3 linked regions of the Notamacropus eugenii genome follow. The protein of the gene in region 2 purifies or fractionates together with the protein of the main gene of each other region. This does not show direct contact. Links are inferred from orthologs where the notes say so. Each region holds a gene or a part of one and is shown on either strand. Other genes may lie near its edges.

What was found. Proteins that work in one complex are often made in the same cells at the same time.
Region 1: the proteins of EFTUD2 (region 2) and CDC5L purify together in Homo sapiens (affinity purification with mass spectrometry; 6 studies listed by BioGRID and IntAct, with this or other methods). This does not show direct contact. The link is inferred for Notamacropus eugenii from reciprocal best matches to the Homo sapiens genes EFTUD2 and CDC5L.
Region 3: the proteins of EFTUD2 (region 2) and PRPF6 purify together in Homo sapiens (affinity purification with mass spectrometry; 6 studies listed by BioGRID and IntAct, with this or other methods). This does not show direct contact. The link is inferred for Notamacropus eugenii from reciprocal best matches to the Homo sapiens genes EFTUD2 and PRPF6.

The regions. Positions count from the first base shown.
Region 1 is NC_092873.1:107,878,733-107,885,735, reverse strand, and holds the start of CDC5L (cell division cycle 5-like protein), read right to left. Parts: upstream 3,003-7,003; 5' UTR 2,715-3,002; coding exon 2,670-2,714; intron 273-2,669; coding exon 169-272; intron 1-168.
Region 2 is NC_092873.1:349,016,004-349,023,894, reverse strand, and holds the start of EFTUD2 (116 kDa U5 small nuclear ribonucleoprotein component), read right to left. Parts: upstream 3,021-7,891; 5' UTR 2,761-3,020; intron 755-2,760; 5' UTR 751-754; coding exon 646-750; intron 1-645. Other genes in the region: DNAAF19 (dynein axonemal assembly factor 19), read left to right, coding at 4,833-4,975, 5,164-5,308, 6,530-6,979. UniProt on the Homo sapiens protein: Required for pre-mRNA splicing as component of the spliceosome, including pre-catalytic, catalytic and post-catalytic spliceosomal complexes. Component of the U5 snRNP and the U4/U6-U5 tri-snRNP complex, a building block of the spliceosome.
Region 3 is NC_092872.1:496,238,655-496,246,261, forward strand, and holds the start of PRPF6 (pre-mRNA-processing factor 6), read right to left. Parts: upstream 3,003-7,607; 5' UTR 2,176-3,002; coding exon 1,535-2,175; intron 1-1,534. UniProt on the Homo sapiens protein: Involved in pre-mRNA splicing as component of the U4/U6-U5 tri-snRNP complex, one of the building blocks of the spliceosome.

The sequences.
Region 1 (7,003 bases), about 240 Mb from region 2:
GTTCACAAGAGAACCAGGACTAGGACCTAGTTTTCCTGACTCTCAGATCTTTACACTACACTCTTAATTCCTGTTCTTAACTAAATTCAAAGAACTACCACACTTCCCCTATTACCATTAAGTACACATTAAGTTTTTCCAAGGTTCCCTTTGCTGACTTGCACATACCATCTGGCCTTGCACTGCTTTGCTGATTTCCTATGCAACAGTGAAGCAATCCGAGACCACTGGTTCTTTCCATATTTCATTACCGCTGCTTTGAGAATTTCATCCTAAGAAAATGAACAAGAAAAAGATTTAACAAACAAAAATTATTTTTCACCAGAAAGAATCAATCTAGCTTAGTTCTGATAAGGTTTCTGTAGTCTTCCAAGCAAGGTTAGGGAACACCCCTTCCTGTCCCCCTCCAAAAAGAGGATGGGAAATTGTGCAGCTGTAAGAGACCTTAAAAAGTTATGTGATTCAATGGTTTCACTCCATCAATGAAGAAACTGAGGCCAACGGAAGTAAGGTGATTCCCAAAGCAGCCTGGCTGACACCTGACAGATCTGGTACTAACTCATCTGACTCTTCCATTGAGTCCCTTTCCACTATACCATGACAGACAGAAAGCTGGACATGTAGTCCCAAAGGCTGTTTTGAATTCTACCACTGATATTCACTCCCTTAATATTGACAAGAAACTTGACTTCTCTACATTTCATTTTCTTCAATGGTAAAACAGGGATAACTAATATAGTACCCACCTCACAGAGGAGTAAATATATATGTAAACTACTGGGCAAACTTGAAAACATTATGTAAAGTTTACCTACTGCTATTATTACACTGGCTTAATATCTCTATAGGAGGCTTGGGCCTGGAAATTCATGGGTAAATCTAGGTCTATCTTCAAAGAGTGTTGACAGTACATTAATTGTCAAAAAATTGTCAAAATTGTCAAAAAACATTTAAATAAAGGAGGGTCACTGGTCCAAGGAGTGCCCCTCCAGGGCGCCCGCCCCCCCAGAGGGAGCCCCAGGAATCAATGCCTATGGAACTGTGCACATGTGACCAGAAGGGACATTGGAGGAAAGATTGTCCCCAAGGTTGGAAAAGTGGTGCAGCCTCCCCCAGTAACTAGTCTTCTCAAGACTTCGTGTTTTTGTCCTTCATTGTCGAAGAGGACCATGGCATCAGAGAAATGATGACATGACTTGCACTTGACTTTGTTTTGAGTGAGGGAGGGCTGTGCAGGTCACCAGCCTCACTTTTCCTCCAGAGCCATCTGAATCCAGTACCAGATATTCATCAGGATGACTGCAGATGGCCCAGGATGCAATGGGAGACCTTGGCCTTTTTAGGCTAGGCCTTTTCAGGTACTCACTTAGAAGGAGGTAACACCCATTGAGTTGAATAGGCCTCTTCCAGAAGTAATCAGGGAATGGCCCTTTTAATGAACCAATGAAAAAAATAAGTAAATCAAACTGGGAGGGAAAAAGAAACTGTTACTATTGATAATCACTCTAAGCCAGCCATTAAGCGGAGCTTGGGCAAGGACCTATAGTTGTCCAACTTCAGAGTGCACTGGGTTTAAGGTTTTGGGAAAAGAAAGGAAAGAAAGAAGGAAGATCACTGAAGAACTAAAAAAGTACAGAAAAAAGGACAAAGAACCTTCTCCAGAAGGTTCAGAGGTTAGATATAAAGGAACAAGACAGCTCTGAAACTAACAAACTGAATTTATTCTATTCTTTTAAAAACAAGCAATATTTTTATTTTTATACGTAATCTTTTTTCTATTTGTTGAATATGGAAGGTCACATTTATGGGTGTTTGTAAAGTTCAGAGTAACAAAAAATAGAAATTACTGAAGCATGAAAAAAGGGTATCATTTGGAAGGAGGATTAGATGTGTTCAGAGAACAGAATCCAGTACAATCAGTGGAAGTACAAGAAGCAGCTAGATGGCACAATACGTAGAATGCTGCACTTAGAGTCAGGAAGACCTAAATTCAAAACCTGCCTCACACGTTTAATATTCACGGGACCCTGTCTGCCTTAGTTTCTTCATCTGTTTGATGCGAATAATAACAGTACCTTCCTCCCAGAGGGGTGGTGAGGATCCCAGGAGATTTGTAAAGCACTTTGCAGACCCTATAACGGTGTATAAAGGCTAGCTATTATTGTATCATTATTATTATTTCTGAGTCGGCAGAAAACCAATTTTGATTTGGCCCAAGGAAAAACTCCCTAGAAACGAGACCCATCCGAAAGGACCACTCTTGATTCCGTAAACGGCTCCCTGGAGGAGGTGTGCCAACTGGGCTTTAGAGGATAAAGGGAAGTGCAGCATTCTGGGGCAGATAGGAACGGCATTCCAGCCCCGAGGGGCAGTAGGAGCCAAAGCACCGGGGGCGGGAGAATGGAGCGCTGCCCACCGGCCCAGCCTTGCCCGCATCACAGAGTGCGTGGAATGCATGAGAGAAGCCTGGAAAGGCAGGGGGTGGCGCCAAATTAAAGCGCAGGTGGAGGGCGAGGAAAAGCACCCGGGGGCCAGGTCCGCTCCAACTTTACGTACTCCAGGATTCTAACCCCCTACTCCCCGCCCCCATAACTGCTCTACCATCAGATGGCGCATGCGCACACACCACCGCAGGGGGCCAGGGAGAGTGACAGGAAGACGACGCTCACCTCCGTATTCCTCCATACGCCCCCCTTGATCATAATCCGAGGCATCTTGGCGGAAGGGTGAGTGATTCGGCAAATAGCCGAGACGATCGGGCGAACACTGAAATGGCGTAGCGGCCTCCGAACCCAAAGCCGACCCTTCTTCCCAGCACGACCTTCGGCTTCCGAATGCTGTGCGCAGGCGCAGAGAGAAGGTTAGTCACGCGAGATTACCGGGTCGCGGGGAGTAACCCAAACTAGATAGCTAGATTCCCGGTCAAAGCGCCCGGCCTCGCTTGTAGTGGCACGCATGCGCATAAAAAGCTGACAGCTGCGTCTTCGTTCCCGGGTCGATCTGCGGCTGCGTCGATGGTGGGAGGCGGGGATAGAGAGGAGTGGGAGCTCATAGCGCCACCTGAGGGTCGGAGGTGTGTCACACACGGGAACAGTTCTATGGCTGGTGGTTTTGCCTTGCGCGTGGACGGGTAACTCTAAATTCCTAAGTTAAAAGCTTTGGACGGGAACTAGGGAATTCGATTCCATTCCATTCCATAAGTATTTATTAGGCGTCTGTAATATGAATGACTGAACTAGGCTAGAAATTCAAAGACGGAAAGAAAAGAAAGGACACCATTCCTGCCCCCTAGGACCTTATATAGTCTCCTGGGGGAACAATACTAATAAGTAATTATCATAAAGCAGGTGTAGACGGCCAGGTGTGACTTAGGACCGTACACTGGGAGCTGGAAGGGACTTTAGACGTGATTCCCCCACGTGCCTCTCCCCCCCCCAGCCCCAACACCCCGTACTGAAGGATTCATTGCCTTTCCCAGTTGGCATGGGAGTGTGGGGAGTGGGAGGTGGGAGACGGCTATTTTCTGTTGCTTTAGGAGAGGTTAAGAATTTTTCTGCAAGGTGTTTTTCCCCCTGTTCTATTTTGTTCATATGCTTCAATTAACTGCTTTATTATTTTATTTTTTATGTTTTGCCTGGTCAGTGAGTGGAATCTCAGTCAACCAATACACATTTGTTGTTTCTAGAATACAGATATTTGTTCTTATGATTGTGTACTGTCATTATTTATCGTTATATGTGATTTATTTTTATAAATACTAGGATAGACTATTTAGTATTTATAAACTACAAAAAAGAGGCAAAAGGCAGTTTCCGCACCTGGAGCTCACCATCTACTAGAGACAACAAGGAAACAAATACGTACAAACAAGGTATATATAGGGAAAAGAGGAAATAATTAAAAATGGGAAGACATTAAAATTAGAGGAATTAGGAAAGGCTTTCTGTAAAAGATAAGAATCCACGCTGGATTGAGGTTGGAACCAAGTATATAATTCTCTTCACCTTGGCATAGCATAGGTGACCTTCAGGGTGACTTGGAGGAGAACTGACACAACTACAGAACGCTTAGCTTGAGATGGAACTGAGTTACGTCATACCACCAGCATCCATAAATACAACTGGTTGGCAGAAAACAGCCAAAAAAGAGGACAGATTTGTCAGCATTTCTCTACAAATCTATTTTCATCATCAGTGACAAAGGCACCGCTGAATTCCAACCCTAAGTCTTCAGTCCCAATACGCCACATGAAGAAGTTGAATGGCACTTCAAAAGAAAAGGCTAGGAATAGTAGCTGACCCAGATATGATACATCCGGAGTGCCATTCCCATTAGAAGAGAATGGGAAGAAATGCCTTTCACAACTACGGCTTAGTGAAAAAGTCTTAACCAAACAAGGGATAGAAATGATCATAAAACAGATCACTTAAATTACCTAAAATTTAAAAGCTTTTGCAGAAACAAAATTAATACAGCTGGAATAAGATGTGAAATTATCACGAAGATAAGGAGAAAAAAGGGACAAAGAATTAGAAATTGAGGCAATGCCCATCAATTGGGGAATGGCTGAACAAGCTGTGTTATGTGATTATGACAGAATAGTTGTATTATAAGAAATGATGAGCAGAATGCTCTCAAAATAACCTGGAAAGATTTGCATGAGCTGATGCAAAGTGGAATGTACTGTGTACAAAGTAACAGCAATATTGTAAGATGATCAGCTGTGAATGACTTAACTATTCTCCGCAATACAATGATCAACTCTGATACAATGATACAACTCTGAAGGACTTAACGATGAAAAATGTTATCCATCCCTGAAAAAAGAACTGATGGTTTCTGAACACAGGTTGAAGCATACCTTTTTACTTTATTTTTCTTGAGTGTTTTTGTCTATATTTTCTTTTACAGCATGACTATTATAGATATCTTTTGCATGACTACACCCGTATAACCTATATTGAACTGCTTGCCTTCTCATTGGGAGGTGTGGGTGGGGAGGAAGGGAGAGGATTTGGAACTCAAGTTTTAAAAATGAATATTTAAAATTGTTTTCACATGTAATTGGGAGAATATAAAAAGATTTTTTAAAAGACTTCCAGATTTTTAAAAAAAGAGGAAGAAAAAACTGCATCAAATATTTACAATAAAATTGTTAAACCCAAGATATGTAGGGAACAGACCCAAAATATGCTACCAAGATCCATTACCCAAGAGATGAGTGGGCAAAGGATATAAACAAAAGAAGAAATGCAAACTATCAAGAATTAGGTGAAAGAATGATCCAAGTAACTAATAATGAGAAATGCAAATTAAATAACTCTGAAACTTGCTCTATATCCCCTCAAAATTACAGTTACATAAGATGGGAATAGTTAATGTTGGAAGCAATGCAGGAGCACCATCACACTAATATAGCAACAACAATAACAACAAAGTCATGAAATTATTCCTACTTTTGCCCGAGGCAATTCCAACATGGTTGGGTCCCAAGGAGTTCAAAGACAGAAAGCAAGGTCCCACATATACCAAAATATTCTTGGCAACTCTTTGTGGTAGAAAAAAAATGAGAAACTAGAAAAAAGATGCCCATTGACTAAAGAAAAACTGAACTGGTTATGGCATATGAATGCAATGGAAAGCTATTGAACTGTAAGAAGATAGGAATATGAGGAATTCAGAAAAATGAGAAAACTTGTATGAGCTGATACAAAGTAGAGTGTAAGTATAAAGTAGTGAAGTAGGTAATTCTAGGGGAGGGTACAACTAATTGCCCTGATCCTCAGAAGCAGTAAGGAGGACCCAAGTACGTATTTGGTGTCAGTCATCCACTAGCTTCATCTTCTACCTTATACAAGTATCCCAAAGTTTTATTGTGCTTCGGAGATGCTGCGTTTTGTTTTTCAAATTGGAGATTTGTGGCAATCCTGTGTCAAGCAAGTCTGTCAATGCCATTTTTCCAGTAGCACGTAGCTCACATCATGTCTCTTTGTCACATTGTGGTAATTCTTGCAATATTCCAAACTTTTTCATTATTATTGTAGAATCATTATAATAACTCTGTGTTCTGTGAAAACCGTCTACAACTTCAGTGGGCCATGACCACCAGCATCAGCTTAAACTCTGTAGGGTTTTTTGCCTGAACCAAAAATCAATCCTCAACCCAGAATTTTAGAGTGAAAAATGTTAACAGCAATGGCTTATAATATTGGCCTGGCATACTTTGAACTAACCTAATAATAACAATTGTGAATCTAAACTGGTAGAGCTGCTTATATATTTCCTAATACTGTTAATATAAAATAAAGTGCATGCTTATGCTGTGAAATTTGCTAATATCAACATAGTTAGAAAAATTACTTCTCTTGCAATCTGGATACTGCTAGGTTGTTAGGTTATAAACCCAGTTGTTAAAGAGTTGTCCAAAAACTGCTATTTTTGTTCAGTGTGTTTTATTTCATTACAATTATAATAGGGGGCAGAGCCAAGATGGCAGAGTAAAAGCAAGATTATATTATAGTTTTAAAATATTTCTTCCTTGTTTTATCTGATAAGATATTTAAAACTTATTATTTGACACAGTTATAAGTTTTTTTTTCAGCCTTGCTGGTGATATGGTCTAAGTTCTATAATGTTTAAACCTGAGAGCTTCGAGATTCAGAGGTGGAAGGGCTAATTAGTTTCACACCTACCTCGAAGGGGAAAGTTTACAAATCAGCTGACATAAAGGACCTAAGTTCCACTTAAATTTATTTAGCTGTATTAAAGGTACATTTAAATTTAGTAACAAATTATCTTCTGGAATTATGGATATATCCACCAGGTGATTTTTAAAAGTGCCCTTCAGCCAGCATTAGCAGGCCTTTCATTATTAGGACAGAGAGGAAGGGTAACCTCAGGGATTTTAACCCAACCTTTTAACCCATCCCATAACTTACTGCTCTGCCTGAGATGACTGCTGCTACCAGGCCCCTTATCTTGGACAACTCCAGAATGTGATTAC
Region 2 (7,891 bases):
TCTCACTTTAAAATTTTTCTCTCTCTTATTTTTAATATGGCTAGTATGGAAATCTTTTGCATGATTTCATATATATAACTGATATATTACTTGCCTTCTCAGTGGGTAGGAGAGGGGATGGGAGGGAGAAAAAGAATTTGGAACTCAAAATTTGAAAAAGAAGGAACATTAAAAATAAATAAATAACAAATCTGAAAAAGATAAATAAAATTTCAAAATATCACACCTCCTGAAAAATTTCCATCAAAAATCCTGAAAAGGTTAGAGGAAAGAATAAAATAAAGTACTTCACATTCTCTATTCTGGCAGTTAAGTGGCACAGAGAATAAAACACTATTCCTGGAGTCAGGAAGACCTGAGTTCAAACACTAAGACACTAGCACCTCACACGCTAAGCTGTGTGACTCTGGGTAAATCATGTGACTTGCTTACCTCAGTTTCCGCAACTGTAAAATGGAGATGGCAATAGCACCTACCTCTCAGAGGCGTTGTGAGGATAAAATAAGATAATATTGATAAAGTGCTTTGCTAACCTTAAAGGTATATGTAAATGCCAGCTATTATTCTCAGTGACACAAAATTTCATATCCTCCAAATAAAAGGGGGAGCGGGGGTGGGTAAAACTTTATTTTAAAGTAGTCTTACCTCATCAAGATCTTTGGCTTCTCTACCCAATTCATCATCATCTTCATCAGAATCTAGCTCTGGTCCAATATAATTCCCAAACTCATCATAGAGGTCTGTGTCCATGATGCTAAATATCCATGGGGAAGAAAACAAAAAAATATAAGTAATCTGTGGGCAGGCAAAGAAGAGAAGGGTGAATATATGTTCCCTCTCCTGACCATGACTGACTACCTTTAAACTAGCTTCCATTTCAGTGTAAAATGAACAGTACCCAGAACTGTTTATTTTTTGCTCCTCCTGAGTTCTGTTATGCTAGCTGCAGAGCAAAATAAAATCCTATGCTATATGTTCCTTAAAGATCAATTAATAAAACTTCCTGTATATTTTTGTACTACTTGTACTATTTCTCCCACAGATGCTTCCAAGCTTTCCACTCCAAGAAACACCAACCAAGTATCTACTGCTTTCTAAGATAAACCCATTTGATATAAATCCTGTGAAGTTTAAGTGTACAATCTGGTTCTCTAGAATTTTTACACTTTCAAAATACTTTAAGATTTGTTCTCATTTGATTCAAACATGTAAACTCCATGAGGACCAGAAGGGATTCATTTATGTTTTGTATCTCTCCAGCAAACGAAAAGTGACTTTCACATGAAAAGTACTTAATAAATACTTCTTGAATTGTATATACTGTCAGTGTTGGTTAGTTGGTTAATTTTACTCAACGACTTTTTTTCTTCTTTGACAGGAGGAATGGTTAGGTGAATAACAAAGGAAGTGTAGGCAATGTAAAAAAAAAAAAGATATCAATAACAAAAATTTAAAACAAACATTTGTTGAATCAACTTCCAGCGAAGCCATAAACATGCCTGTGTTTCCCTTACTAAGCTTCTACTCCAGTGCCCCAATGTGATAAGGTGACACTGGTGTTACAAGTCAATCCTGGCGGAACTACATTAGCTCAGGCAGGTCCTAGACAGGCTAGAAAATTTTCTTGTACTAAGCGCAGTTCAAGGATTAGATTAATTGAATATTCATTACCAGAAGGTATCTTATATAGTAAATCGCCAAACCATGACCTATTTTTGTTATTTTTTAGTTAAGGTAACCAAACCATGACCTATTCTTTTGTTTTTGTTTTTTTAGCTAGGATGACTTGAGAAGTTTTCTTCCAAAGTGTGCCAGGATGTAAATATGGTGCACATATGCATGATAAAACATATCTTCTAGTATTAAGGGCCCAGCACTGTGTAGAGGGCATCCCAAAAGCTTTACTACAGTTTAAAACTATTGAAACTTAAAGGTCCTACTCAGCAGCAAGCACCCTTCTAACAGGACTTGGATTCGCTGCTCTGACGCTTATTAGTGAAACAAGCTGGGTGGCCCAGTGCAGTTGGGAAGATCTGAGTTCAAATCCACACCAGATTTACTAGCTGTGGATGACCCTGGGTAAGTCACAGCCTCTGTCAGCCTCATTCTCCTTATCTGTAAAATGGAGATAATATCAGCGTCTACCTCGGAGGACCGCGGTGAAGAACAAACGCGCTAACGTACGTAAAGTGATTTACAAATCTTAACGTGCTTTATCAACGTCCGCTATGATGAGGATGGCGATGACGTCACTTAGCTTCTCAGGACCTCATCCGTCACCTAAGGATAAAGCACCTGGGCCTTCTGAGTGATGGGGGAGTACAGGGGAAGGTAGCGGTGTATAAACCTTAAAGCACCTGACAAAATGTGTATTATTGCTCATTGAACTCAACAAACACAGTGTCTCCTAAGGGCCATGTGCTGGGGATAGAAAAGGAGGAAGGAAAAAACCACAAAGAACAAGTCCCTGCTCGCAAGGAGCTTCCACTCCACTAAGGGACACGCAGAAGTTAGGAAACTTGCCCACGGTCACGACCGGGCCCATCAGTGACACGCCGGCCCTCCCCACCACGACCAGGCCCGGCCCCCTCATCCCCCCTTCTGGTGGGACCCGAGCAGAGGCCGGGCCTGCCCCAAGGCCTCAGTGCCCTCCTTTGTAAGATGAGGTTTTCTTTTAAGGTCCACCCCTTCCACATCTGCCAGCCTCGGACCCCATCCGATCGAGTTCACGCCCCGACTTCGGGGCCGCCGACTCCTCACCTGCAGCTCTAAATCCCAACGCCGATACCGCGCTCTCTCCGTCCGAAGATGGGCCGGCGCCTGCGACGCTCGCTAGGAAGGACCCCGCGCGACGTCGAGGCCACGCCCCTTTCCTCCGCCGCCTGCTACTCTGCCTGAGGTGCCGGAGTAGGATAGAGCCATTCCGGGCTGAAGGGGCGGTTTGGGGGAACCCTGCGACGCGCCGGACAGGAAAGCGTGACGGCCCAGGCGACGTTAGCGAGCAAGCGCGGCCTTCATTTTATCAGGCATCACTAGGGCAGCTCGAACGGGGAGAGGCCCGATCACGTGGGCTGCTTGAGTGAGACTGTTGCTAGGCAACTGTTTCCGCTTGGCTGTAGCCTGAGCCCCCTGTTAGGCAGGAGAACCATGAGGATTTTTCTTGAGTTGAGGGGGTTAGAGGGTAGCGACGGCTGACCAGGAGCTAGGGTAGGTTCGCCTTCTGCTCTACTAGTTCTCAGGGCAGTTGGAATTGGGTCGGGCACAGGATGCCTGGGCTCTGCGTGGTCTGTTTACAGGGTGGGGGCGTGTGTGTGTGTGTGTGTGTGTGTGTGTGTGTGTGTGTGTGTGTGTGTGTGTGTGTGTGTGTGTGTGTGTGTGTGTGTGTGTGTCTGTGTCTGTGTGTGTGTGTGTGTCTGTGTCTGTGTGTGTGTGTCTGTGTGTGTCTGTGTCTGTGTCTGTGTGTCTGTGTGTCTGTGTGTCTGTGTGTTCTCTGGGTCTCAGGGTCCTCCTCCAGTGGGAGACTTGGACAGGATAAGCTCTGAAGCACCCTTCCAAAGAGGGGCTTGGACCACATGGGTTTTGGAGGGGTTTTACAGATCTTAATCTGTTAGGGTTTGTGGAGAGCAAATGGCCACAACAGTTTTGAGCCTTCAGGGTAGCTCCATCCTCCCAGAGGTGCAGGGAGCCAGTTTGCATTGAGACCTGAGAAGGAAAGGGCAGAAGGGACTGGCTGCAAAGGTATCCAAATCAAGTAGAAGAAAAAATTTCCCTTCATCCATTTTTCTGTCATAGTTCAATTCGGGGAATGTTTATGAAATGTCTAATTTGTGCAAGACACGAGTCTCTAGGCATTGGTTTTTCACTAGTCCACATCTACCCCTGCTGCTACAGGTGTCCACTGAGTTGGAACCATGTGATACAAGCGACTCCAGAAGAGAGCAAGACCACAAGGTCAAGAAGCATTCATCCTAACCAATTCTTTCAGATACTCTTATGTCTCCTTCTAGCTCAGTTATTACAATTGAAGAGGCTGGAAAGAGTCATCCACTCCCTTAGAAAATTCAGCAACCTTTGTGTGGTTCTACTCCCTCCCCAACACTACATCTGTCTTGGATGTACAGGACTTGAAATTTATCCTAGGCTCAAAAGGAGCTATAGTCACATCTGCTGTGTGACTGCGTGACCATATGTCCTTCATTCACTCCAAGCGAGTTCTTAGGAAGTTCTCTAAAGTCTGAATTCTAAGGTGCCTCCCAATTTCAAATGGCTTTTTAAACCACCTTTTCAATAAAGAGACTAACAGTACATGTGCCAATTTAGTCTTTAGTCAAGAAGCAAGTCTAGATGGGAATATGAACTTAGAAGTCCTCGGCAGTAGATGGAATACTGGACTTGGAATCAGGGTAGTCTGAGTTTGATACTGCTTCAGATATATGCTACATGTGTGACCCTGGACAAGTTACTTGCTTCTCTGAGTCTCAGTTTTGTCATCCATAAAATGGGGATGATAATAGTATCTACCTCACAGTATTGTTGTGGGATATGTAGGTGTAATTACAAACCTTAAAGAATTACATAAATGTTGTCCATTGTTCCCAGTGAAACAATGGTGTTATGTGGGATCTTGGACCATTGCTACATATCTTAGATCCTTTCTTTTTTAAAATGGGGAGACAACTTTTGTACTTTCTCTTTGAGATGAGTGATAATTTGGACAAAGTGCTTTAATCTTTTTAGAATGGCAAAGAGTTATCATGATATACAGTAGCTTCTTTCCCTGGTAATGTCTCATTGCTGGACTTCACCCTCTTTTTCACTCCCAGGTTCCAGACATGGAAAAGACTGATACCATTGACTTTAGGGCTCTGGAGAAGGAGTTGCAGGCTGCACTAGCTGCTGATGAGAAATACCAAAGAGAGAATGCTGCCAAGTTCCGGGCTGTGGAACAGAAGGTGGCCTCCTATGAAGAGTTCAGGTTGGCTTACACAACTTTACCCCAGAGCTGTCCTAACTATATTCCATGGCCCAGTTAGCTTAAATAGTTATAGCACCATGTTTATGCAGCTGAAGTTACAGGGTTCAGGAACCATTAGGGCAGCAGCTCCATACCTCCACACCCAGCCTGGGGAGTCTTCCCTCAAATACTGTCTCCTTTGCCCACAGGGACATTGTCCTTGCCTCACACCTGAAGCCTTTAGAGCGGAAGGACAAGATGAATATCAAGAAGACAGTGCCTTGGAACTGTCAGGTGACAAGTACCACTGCTCAGACAGGCATCACTCAGGAGGAGAGCACTTATATCTCCCAGGTGAAATAGCCATTCTATAGTCCATTGGGGAACCCTAACCTTTACTTGTAATGCTTCTTTTTCTTAATTAACAAAACTTTTACAGAGCTGTAACTAGCGGAAACTGCCTTTAGACTAAATCCAATCCAATCATTCCATAAACATTTATTAAGCATCTACTGTGTACTGGGCACTGAGCTAAGTGCTGGGAGTCTGGGGACTGCAGGGGGGGGTCAGTGTCCCAGAGGACAGTCTGCTAAGCACACGTAGTACAAAGTCCTACTCGTACGTGCTGTCATACTTAAAGGGGATGGCCCATCTTTCAAGAATTCCAAGGAGGCATTTGTACCCTAGGCATCCTGAGGACTTCAAGGAAAGGACATCTCTGGGGAGGAGGCATGCAAGCCCCACCACGTCATCACCTTGGGGAAAAGCTCCATTCCCCTTACACTCAAGAAATCCCATTCATTCAGGTTTAGGGTACACAGACTCCAGGCTGTGACAAGTACAGGGTACAGAACCATCTCAAAATTTGGATAAAGAGACAGGTTAGTCAGATCTCAGCCAATCAGAGCAGTCTCTTAGATTCTGTGACCTTGGCCAGGATCTCTGTACTCTATAGAGAGGAAGTGCCGAACTCAAATAGAAATAGATCCCTGCAGGGCTAGATATTGACTTAGAGAAACCACAAATTAACATTATCTATGTTATATCATATTTTCCCAGTTCAACCACTGTTTATAGAGCTGTAACTAGCAGAAACTGCACCAAATTCTGTTGAGGGAGTAGAAGGACGATATGGGCTCACTGATCCAGAGAACATTCTGCTAAGGACATGAAGTATGAAGTGCAGTCCCATTGTATGTACAGTCACTATGGTTTGGATGAGGAGATGGGATCTGTCAGCTCTCAGCCAATCAGATCTACCTCTAGGATTCTGAGACCTGTGGCCTACCTCCCTTCCCATCTTAGAATATGCTGTATCCACATTTTGTAAATTTCCATTATATGATGCTAAATCATGTTGTTATTTTAACACCCTAGTCCCCAAGATCCCACTTGTGCCTGACAATGGGAAGTTTTAAAAAGCCTATTTTATATGAGGAAGTTGAGGCCCACAAAGGGTCATGTTTTTCCTGAGATGAAGACTGAGTCAGTAGAAAAGCTAGGAATAGAGCTTGCAAGTATTGACTCCTTAGTGTCTTGAGGACATAACTCTTTTTACTTTTCCCTTTGACCTAGAAGGGAGATTGTCAGCCTGAGACATCTTCAGATTTCTATAGGGCTTGGCGCCGCTACCTCCAGAATGGACCAGAACGCTATCAGACCCTGTTACAGCTTGGGGCCCCCAACTTGGGCCACCTTTTCCGAGTAGATGTGGGTTTTGGACTCCTCGGTGAACTGCTGGTGACATTGGCAGAGAATTTTAAGCCAGCTGACCGTGCTGCTGTACTGGAGATCCTTCATAGCCTATCCAGAACTGGCCGATTTGGCCTCAACCTGAGCCTGCTGAGCAGTGCTGAAAGAGAGAGCTGCCAAAAATTGTTTCAGAAACTCCAAAGTATGTATGTTACCAGACCCACAGAGGAAGAACTGATCTGTAAGGAGCAAGAGCTAGAGAAATCACACGGTAGGAATGATGAGGATGAGAAACTCCTCCAGGAGCTGTCAGAGCTATACCAAATTGGCTAGAGATCTTGTCTTGTTCAGGACAAACAGCAAACCTGACTAGCTCCTGGAGATTTGTTTTTCCTAGAAAGTCCTTAATGTTGTTGGCCATCTTGTTGCCTAACTCCAAACATTTTCTTTTAACCTTGTCCCTCAAGAACTGCAGCAAAAGTTTGGTTTCACTCATCCTAACCTTAAATGGGTCTCTTTAAATCTATATGACTTCAAACAGCCAAAGGCTCTTATGAGAGCACTGGGAAATTGTGACACATTTGGCTTCTCATCCTTAAAACCTGCTAAGAATGGCCTCCTGTCCCTAAGATTAAGGTCCTTTACCCTAGTGCTTATCATCAACCCATGCAAGCAGAATTTTAAAATCTGTGATTAGTTATGTCCATTAATATCTACAAGGATCTACCCCAGGCCAATAAAGATAGTTTATTGACAGACTTTGACACCTTCTTGGGGTGGGGGAACACCATTTTTTCCCTAGAATTGAGTTTTTCTGAGTTAGTGTATGGAGAATTACCAGCAAATGATTTGTCAAGCTACCCAGGTTTTGAAGGGTGGTTCACAATTGTCAGACTATAGACATACTTCTCCAGGATTTATGAAAGAGAAAAACTGCTCCCAAAGAGATAAAGTGAACACTATAAGAGAAAAGCTATCAACAAGCATTTATGAAATATCTGCTATATTCCAGGCACTAGACATACAATATAAGAAATGAAACAAAGGAGTTTACATTCCATCAAAAAGACAAATTCTATATAAGCAGGTAGTTAGGGAGGGCAGTATGAGTTAAGGGGATCAGGAAAGGCTTTGTGGAGAAGGTGGTTGAAGTTTGAGGTTTTATAAGACAGAGTTGCAAAGGAAGCACATTCTGGGCATAGGGAGAGGCAATTACAAAGGCACAAAGAGGAGAGGTAGTAGTGC
Region 3 (7,607 bases), on a different chromosome or scaffold from region 2:
ACTGATATATGATCACTCTCCACAAATGTTTAAGATATTTGTTTAATATCAATATATGACACTTATATAAAGATTTAAAGTTTGCAAAGTGATTTACACGTTGTCTCATTTCAGACCCAAAATAATCCTGTGAGGTATGTACATCTCTTACTCTTTCCACTTTGTATTTGAAGAAGCCATGGTTCAGAAAGGTTAACTGATTTGGACCGTCACACACCTAATAAGTATAAGAGGCAGGGTTTTAATCCAAGTGAAGCCTCTATCCATGAAGCCATATTACTTCTTAACAGATTTCAATCAAGTCAAAAAATACTCATTAGGTGCTATGCTGCAGGATGCTGAGCAGTGGGGATACAGAGACAGAGGCAAAAACAGTCTCTACCCTCAAGGAGCAAGGACTCCTAATGATGGGAGATAACATGCAAACAACTATATACAAAATGGAGAAAATCTGAGAGGAAAAACACTAATATTCAGGACAACTGGGAAAGAAAGTTATCTTGTAGAAGGTGGGGTTTAACAGACATGAAGTAAGCTAGGGAAGATAAGGGAGCAAAATGTCATTTCATCTACCTTACCCTTACACCCATTTCCCTCCTCTGTTTTTCTAGCATACTCCTAAACACTTTTATTTCTCTAGTAAAGGGAAATTTATGGGGAGGAAAAAGTAATTTCAACATGCCACAGTGCTATTTCAACGGAAATTAAGCATTGCTGTATTCTCAAAACAAAACTTAAATGCTTTAAACTGTATAGGAAGATGAAATCTCTGGTCTATTGCTGAAAGGACATTGTGTTCAGTTTTTTCCCCTAACTGGATCAATTAAGACAGACGAAAGATGAGCTACAGGTAGGAAAGATGAAATGTTACAATCTGTCCAATCCAGGATCAAGAAAGAGAGCTTGAACGTAAGGCAGTGGGGTTTCCCAGAAGGAGCCCTGGGCTGAATCAGGAATCCCGAAATTGAAAATCCCTGCAGTGACACTTCCTGGCTCAGGTGGCAAAGCATCTAATCTCCCTAAACCCCAGGTATCCGACTTGTAAGACGTAGGGGATGTATTCTTGCATCAGTCACAGCAGGGTTGCAAGAGAAGTCTTTGGCAAACCCCGCGGCTTACTTAGTACTGAACGGTGGTCACTATTAGGAGGCAGTACTTGTTTGGATAAAGATGGGTAAGGAGAGCGAACTGAAGATCAAGGCCTGCTGGGGAATCGGAGGGAATGAAGAGAGAGGAAGACAGGGGAGGGATAAATAGGATGAGGAGAGACAGAGAGAAAAGAGAATAGAAAGGACGATAAGTATGGGGTGGGGAAAGTGTGTGTGTGTGTGTGTGTGTGTGTGTGTGTGTGTGTGTGTGTGTGTGACAGACCAGCCCCCCCAGAGCAGCCTCCACCGCTCCCCACCCCTCCCCCGAGGGCACGGGCGGACGACCAGAGGGCGGAGGAGCGATGAGGGACGCAGCTTCCACCGGCCCAAGGCCGTCTCGCTCTCGTTCGGGCCCCGGCCTCGGCTCTGCTGCAGTCCCCGCTCACCCGCGGCCCAGCCCCGGCACATAGCCAAGGGGCGCGGGCATTCCCAAGAACGGCTTCTTCTTCTTGTTCATGGTGTCTGCTGGTAGCGGGAAAGCCGGGGATCTCCGGGGAAGCCAAGGGGGACACCCCAAAGTACTCCTCCGAGACTGAGATGTCGCAGAACCTCGGACCTGAGGAGGAGGAAGTACGTCACCCGAAACCCGGAAGTGTAGAACGTCTCCGTTGCGACGCCCCACCCCTCCTCTTCCTCTCTGGAGGTTGACAGGAAGCACTTTTTCCCTAGCCTTCCGGCCCGACGGTGTCAAAACAGCGAGGGCCCTAAGTGGTAGGTGTCTACGCATGCGTAGGAGATCCGTTCTGGGGAGGTCGCCGGGAGCGTGGGAATGTGGGAGCGCCTTTTGTGCACATGCGCGCAGGTACACAGCTTCTCCCCCTCCCCGCATAAAGCTGCCCACGCTCTTCCTACCTGGCTCCGCCCACGGATACGATACACGTAACGTAAAGACACAAAGCTCCCAGCTCGTGAACACGGACGCACGAAAACACAATTCAGTTCGTTCAAGAAGCTTTGATTTAGCACTTGCTAAAATTGCCAGGTATTCTGCTAGGACCTGTAGATAGAGTGACAAAAATGAAATCATGCGTACCGTCAAGTCAAGTGGCTTCCGTGCCACCCTGGGGAAAGTGACAGGCTAATAAATACAGAATAATTCAGGGGGTGGCACCGAGGAACCAGAAAAGTCCGTGGTCAGGGCATTAGCCTGGAGCCGAGATACGGAAATAGCGAAGGAGCCCAAAAAGCAAAGGTGAGGGGAGAAGTCTCCAGTGCACAAAGGCAAGGAGAGGAGACAGGCTTCAGAGGAATGACCAGTAGGTCAGTGTGGCTGAAAGGCAGGATTGTAAGTCTGAGAAGAGGCTTTGGAAGGACTCTGCAGACTAAAGGAAGGAGATTGTATTTTACCCAAGACTGACTATGAATGAAAGGGAAGGATGTGAGAGATGTGAAGGTTAGACCAATAACATTTAGCAGTTCATTGGATATAGGGGTTAAGGAAGACCTGAGGGTCAAGGATGATGCCCAACATAGTTTGGAAACCTGATTGAAAGGATTGTGGTGCCTTCATGGAAGTTAAGAAGAAGGGTGGGCTTAAGGAGGATTGTGAAATTCTGTTGTGAACATGTTGAGTATGAGATGCCTACAGGGCATCCAGGCAAGGCAAATATGTCCAGCAGGGAGTTGGTGATGTAAGATTGGAACTGAAGAAAGAGATGTAGGCTAGATATGTAGATTGGGCAGACATTCAGAGATGACATTTGAATCCATGAGAAGCTGATGAGATCACCTACAAGAGGGGCTTTTAACCTGGGAACTAAGAGCTTGGGTTTTTAGAAATATTTTGATTATAACTTCACTATAATTTTTTTACTTTGCAATTGTATGTATTATATTTTATACATTAAAAAAAATTATTCTGAGATTGGATCTGTAGCTTCACCAGACTGCCAAAAATGTCCCTCCCCCCCCAAAAAAGTTAAGAATATTTGACTTTGGCACAGAAATGAAGATGGTACATGGTACCTTGAGGTGGGGTTCAGGGGTGCAGGGGAGAGTACATGGACAGTGATCCAGCAAAGGAGATTGAGAAGAATCTGTCATACAAATTGGAAAAGAAATGAGAGTACATAATAATAGTTAACATTATATAGCACTTTTATGTATCAGGCACTATTGTGTTACAATTATTATCTTATATAATACAACAACCATGAGCTTCTGGCAGGAGGAATGAGGAGAATTTTGTTGTTGTTCAGTTATTGTAGTCATGTCCAACTCTTCCAGACCCCATTTGGAGTTTTCTTGACAAAGACAATGGAGTGGTTTGCCATTTCTTTGTCTAGTTCATTTTACAAATGAGGAAACTGAGGCAAACGGGTTCAGCACATGCCTAGGATCACCCAGCTAGTAAGTATCTGCGGTCAGATTTGAACTCAGGAAGGTATAGCTTCCTGACAGAAAGCATGGCAATCTGTGCGCCATAGCGCCACCTAGCCACCCTGCTTTTCATATGCAACTGTGCTGTTCAAGCATCTGAACTTTCCAAAGATGTGGAATGTTAATTTTGCATTTAAAGACTTTACCATACATTTTTCTGTATTTTTACCCATCCTTACCTTTCAGCTTTGCTAAAGTCTCACTGGGGCACACAACTATACCTCTGTTGAGGAGTCTTGTATAATTTTGAGTTATGTCCCTACTCTCAAGAAGCTTATAATCTAAGGGGGAGACAACATGCAAAGAAATACATACAAAGCAAGCTCTGTTACAGGAAAAATAGGAAATGGCTAATAGAGGGGAGGCCCTGGAGATAAGAAAGGTTAGGAAAGGTTTCCTGTAGAAGGTGAGATTTTAACTGAGACTTAAAGAAAGCCAGAGAACTTAGTAGTTAGAGTGAAGGAAGAACATTCCAGGCATGGAGGACAGCTGAGAAAATGCCCAGAACTGAGAGATGGAGTGTCATCTTCATGGAACAGCTAGGAGGCCAATGTCACAGGATTGAAGAATATGTACTGGGAAATAAAGTGTAAGAAGACTGGAAAGATAGGAGAGGGCTAAATTATAAAGGGCTTTGAATGCTGAACAGAACATTTTGTACCAAAGACCTTTCCAAGCCATCTCTCAGTTGTGTACTTGTTCTTTTATCTCCTTTAAATTTCACTTTATCCCGGTGTGGTTCTGGGGTTCTGATAGCCAGGACTCTTCTAGACAGGTTAACATGTCCCTTCCCATACACACCAGCTTCTAATTTATCCCCTTCTCAGGGTTCCCCAGCTCTTGTAGCCACTGCTAGATGGATCCTATGACATAGAGATCTTCTGCTCCTGTCCTGAGACATTCAGGAGTGGAAGGAAGACTAGAGTGAGGTCATTCAGTATGGTCTAATTGATGTCTCAGCCACCAGACCTCAGAACCAGTAGAAGGGAAAGAGAAAATGATCAGAATGGAGGGGCAACATCCCCTGAGTCAAACTTCCCCCATACTTCCTTATATTCCACATTCCTGCTCATATACACATGAGTATCTCTATACCTACCAGCATGCTACCATTTTCTCCTTATAACTCCTTGGCCCAGACTTGTGGCAAGTATATGACCTACATAACTATCAATCCACTCATCTGGAAGAGACTTGTCCAAGATCACACAGGAAATGCCCCAGGTGCCTTGTTAGGTACCCTGCTCTGATAGCCCCTTCTGAGGGAAGAAGTTGGAGGGCCTGAAACTATGAACTCTTCTACTAATACCATCATCACCACCCCATACACATCACCCAGGGGTATAGGAGTAAATGCTTAAAAACCGGCTCTCTGGAAAAATGGACATATGGCAAACTAATAAGTTTACTCTTCATCTAACAATTTCTCCATCACTTCCTTAAGTCTAGACAATCAACAAAGCAATAGCTCAAACCCTGATTTGTAACACTGACTAATTTCTGAGGTGAAATACACACAGAGAAAATTTAACATTTAGCTCTCTCTTTGAGAGGTTTGAGCTGACTCTAGCATATTCCTAGTATTCACTCCTCAAACTCACAGGAGTCCCTCCCACAGGGCCAATTTGTGGAAGTGGGAAGGGCTGAACGTTCATTAACTTTAGGACCTGTCAGTCATCAACTCTTCTCTGTTTTCCCTGGCAAAAAATTGGCCTCAGAAACTTGTGGGCATGTTTAGGCAACAAAAAGGGAGACCGTCACTTCCTGGCTGTGGGAGCGTGTAGGTGTGGCAGCAGCCCCTCAGGGTAAAGCCACAGGGACATAGAATAGGAATGAGACTACGGTAAAAAAAAAAAAAAATAAGACTAAAATGTATAGAGCCAGAACCCTAGAAAGAGAGAGGGTCTTCCAAGAGAGACCAAGCTACTCCACCAGGATAAAGAGATCTCTCCCTCTTCCTGGGAGGAAGCCCTGGGATCAGATAAGGAAGGGCTGCTCTCCCAAGGCTTCTAAAACAGGATTGAGGCAAAAGTTGAGGATGCAAATAGAAAATAGAGAATGGAGTCCCTAAAATTTGCCAACCAAACCTTTCTGAATTCAGAGATTTAGATACTACATATTCTGAAGATCATAGTCACATGTTATTTTGTTTTATCATTGACTTAACAAACCTTCTTTTGAAATATTTAGACCTTCTCTTTGCAGCATAGGGTTTACAGCAGCAATTCTCAGGAGGGTCCATGGAGTCAAAACTATTTTTATAATTATATGAAGACATTTTAATTTCTAATACAATAAATATCACATAACTCCACGTGAACCAAAGTTCTTTGGGATGGCCTCAATCATTTCTAGGAGTTACTGTAAAGAGACCCAGAAATTTGAGAAACTATGGTACATGGGGTATCTATACTTAGACCAAGGAAACTTGAAGGATCTTCACCTCCTTGGAGGTTTATATTGTGGCTGGTTTACCTTCCTGCCTTGGACCTTCCCTCACAGAACTTCCCTAGGAGTCTGACTATGAAATTCTAATTTACCTAGAATTAGGTATAAGTGAGATATAGACAACATTATTCTCCCAAAAACAATCAGAGTTCGTGGTGCTGTGTGAAGTGAGCACTGTGCATAGTAACAGCAATACTGTTCAATGACCAACATTGATAGACTTAGATCTTTTCAGCAATACAAGGGTCTAAGACATTCCAAAAGATTCATAATGGACAATGCTGTCCACATCCAGAGGAAGAACTATGGAGTCTGAATGCGGATCAAAGCATACTATTTTCTCTTTTTTGTTCTTTCTTGTGGTTTTTCCCTTTTGTTCTGATTCCTCCTTTAACACCATGACTTATGTGGAAATATCTCTAATAAGACTGTACATGTATAGCCTACATCGGATTGCTTGCCATCTTGGGAAGGGGGAGAGGGAGAAAAAAATTTGGAACTCAAGCTCTTATAAAAGTGAATGTTGAAAACTGTCCACATATAATTGGAAAAAATAAAATAATATTAAGTGGGGAAAAAAAATCACAGAGTTCACTCAGAGCTGGACTATATCTACGGTTGACAGGACTACTCTTCAATTTTGGGGGGTTTTATCCAAAGGAAGGATAGTTCCTTCGTGCCCAGGACATCTGAGATATCTTGAAGACGAGGGAGTATCATGAATTTCCAAAGTCCATGAGGAAAATCTCAGCCTCACTGAATTCAAAGATTCAAAGGAAGCACAAGGACTACCTCATTTTTATATTTATATCCCCTGTGCTTACAGTGCTTGGCATATAGGCATGTAATAAACACCCATTAATTGACTGATTGATGAGTCACCTTTTTAGTTCTGCCTGAAACAGTGAGACAATCCATACTTTTAAGGACTTTACATCCCCTTTAGATCTTCAGATTCAGAGAATCTAGGATACCCCTTGGGGAATGGTGGCTTGACACCCAGCTCCTATCCGCCTTAAGATATCTCAATTGTCCTGAGCACCTGGAAACTTACTTTCTTTTGACAAAAACTACCTGAGTTCAGTCTCTACCTCCTCATTTCCCTCAGCCAGAGTATTGTCCTTAAATCTTGTATGGAAGGAAACTGCGCCTGATTTGGAAATCTGATCACCTATACCTCTCCTCGGAGAAGTAACATTCCAAGGCAGAATTCTTACCCTTGGGCTTGGAAGAACCAGGAAGAAATAGGGAGCTAGGTTGAAGGATAGAGGCTTAACTTATTTGCCCCAAACCATACAACTCAGCATCAGTAATGAGGACTCAATTAAAAGCAGATTTTTTGACTTCATCTAATATTCATTTCACTATACATATACATCACTTTCTTCTTTTCTAGAGACCCAGTTGGATTACCAGAGTTGTATGGGCTGGAGAGAGAAGAGGAGCTCATATTTCTATAGCACATTAAGGGTTTACAGAGTGCTTCCTTCACACTGACCCTGTAGAGGAGTTAGTTCAACTGCACATTATATGACCCTCAATAAACTCCAGTGGCTCCCTATTTTCTCCAGGAACAAATACAAAATGCTGTTTATCATTCAAAACCCTTCATAACCTAACCCCCTTATACCT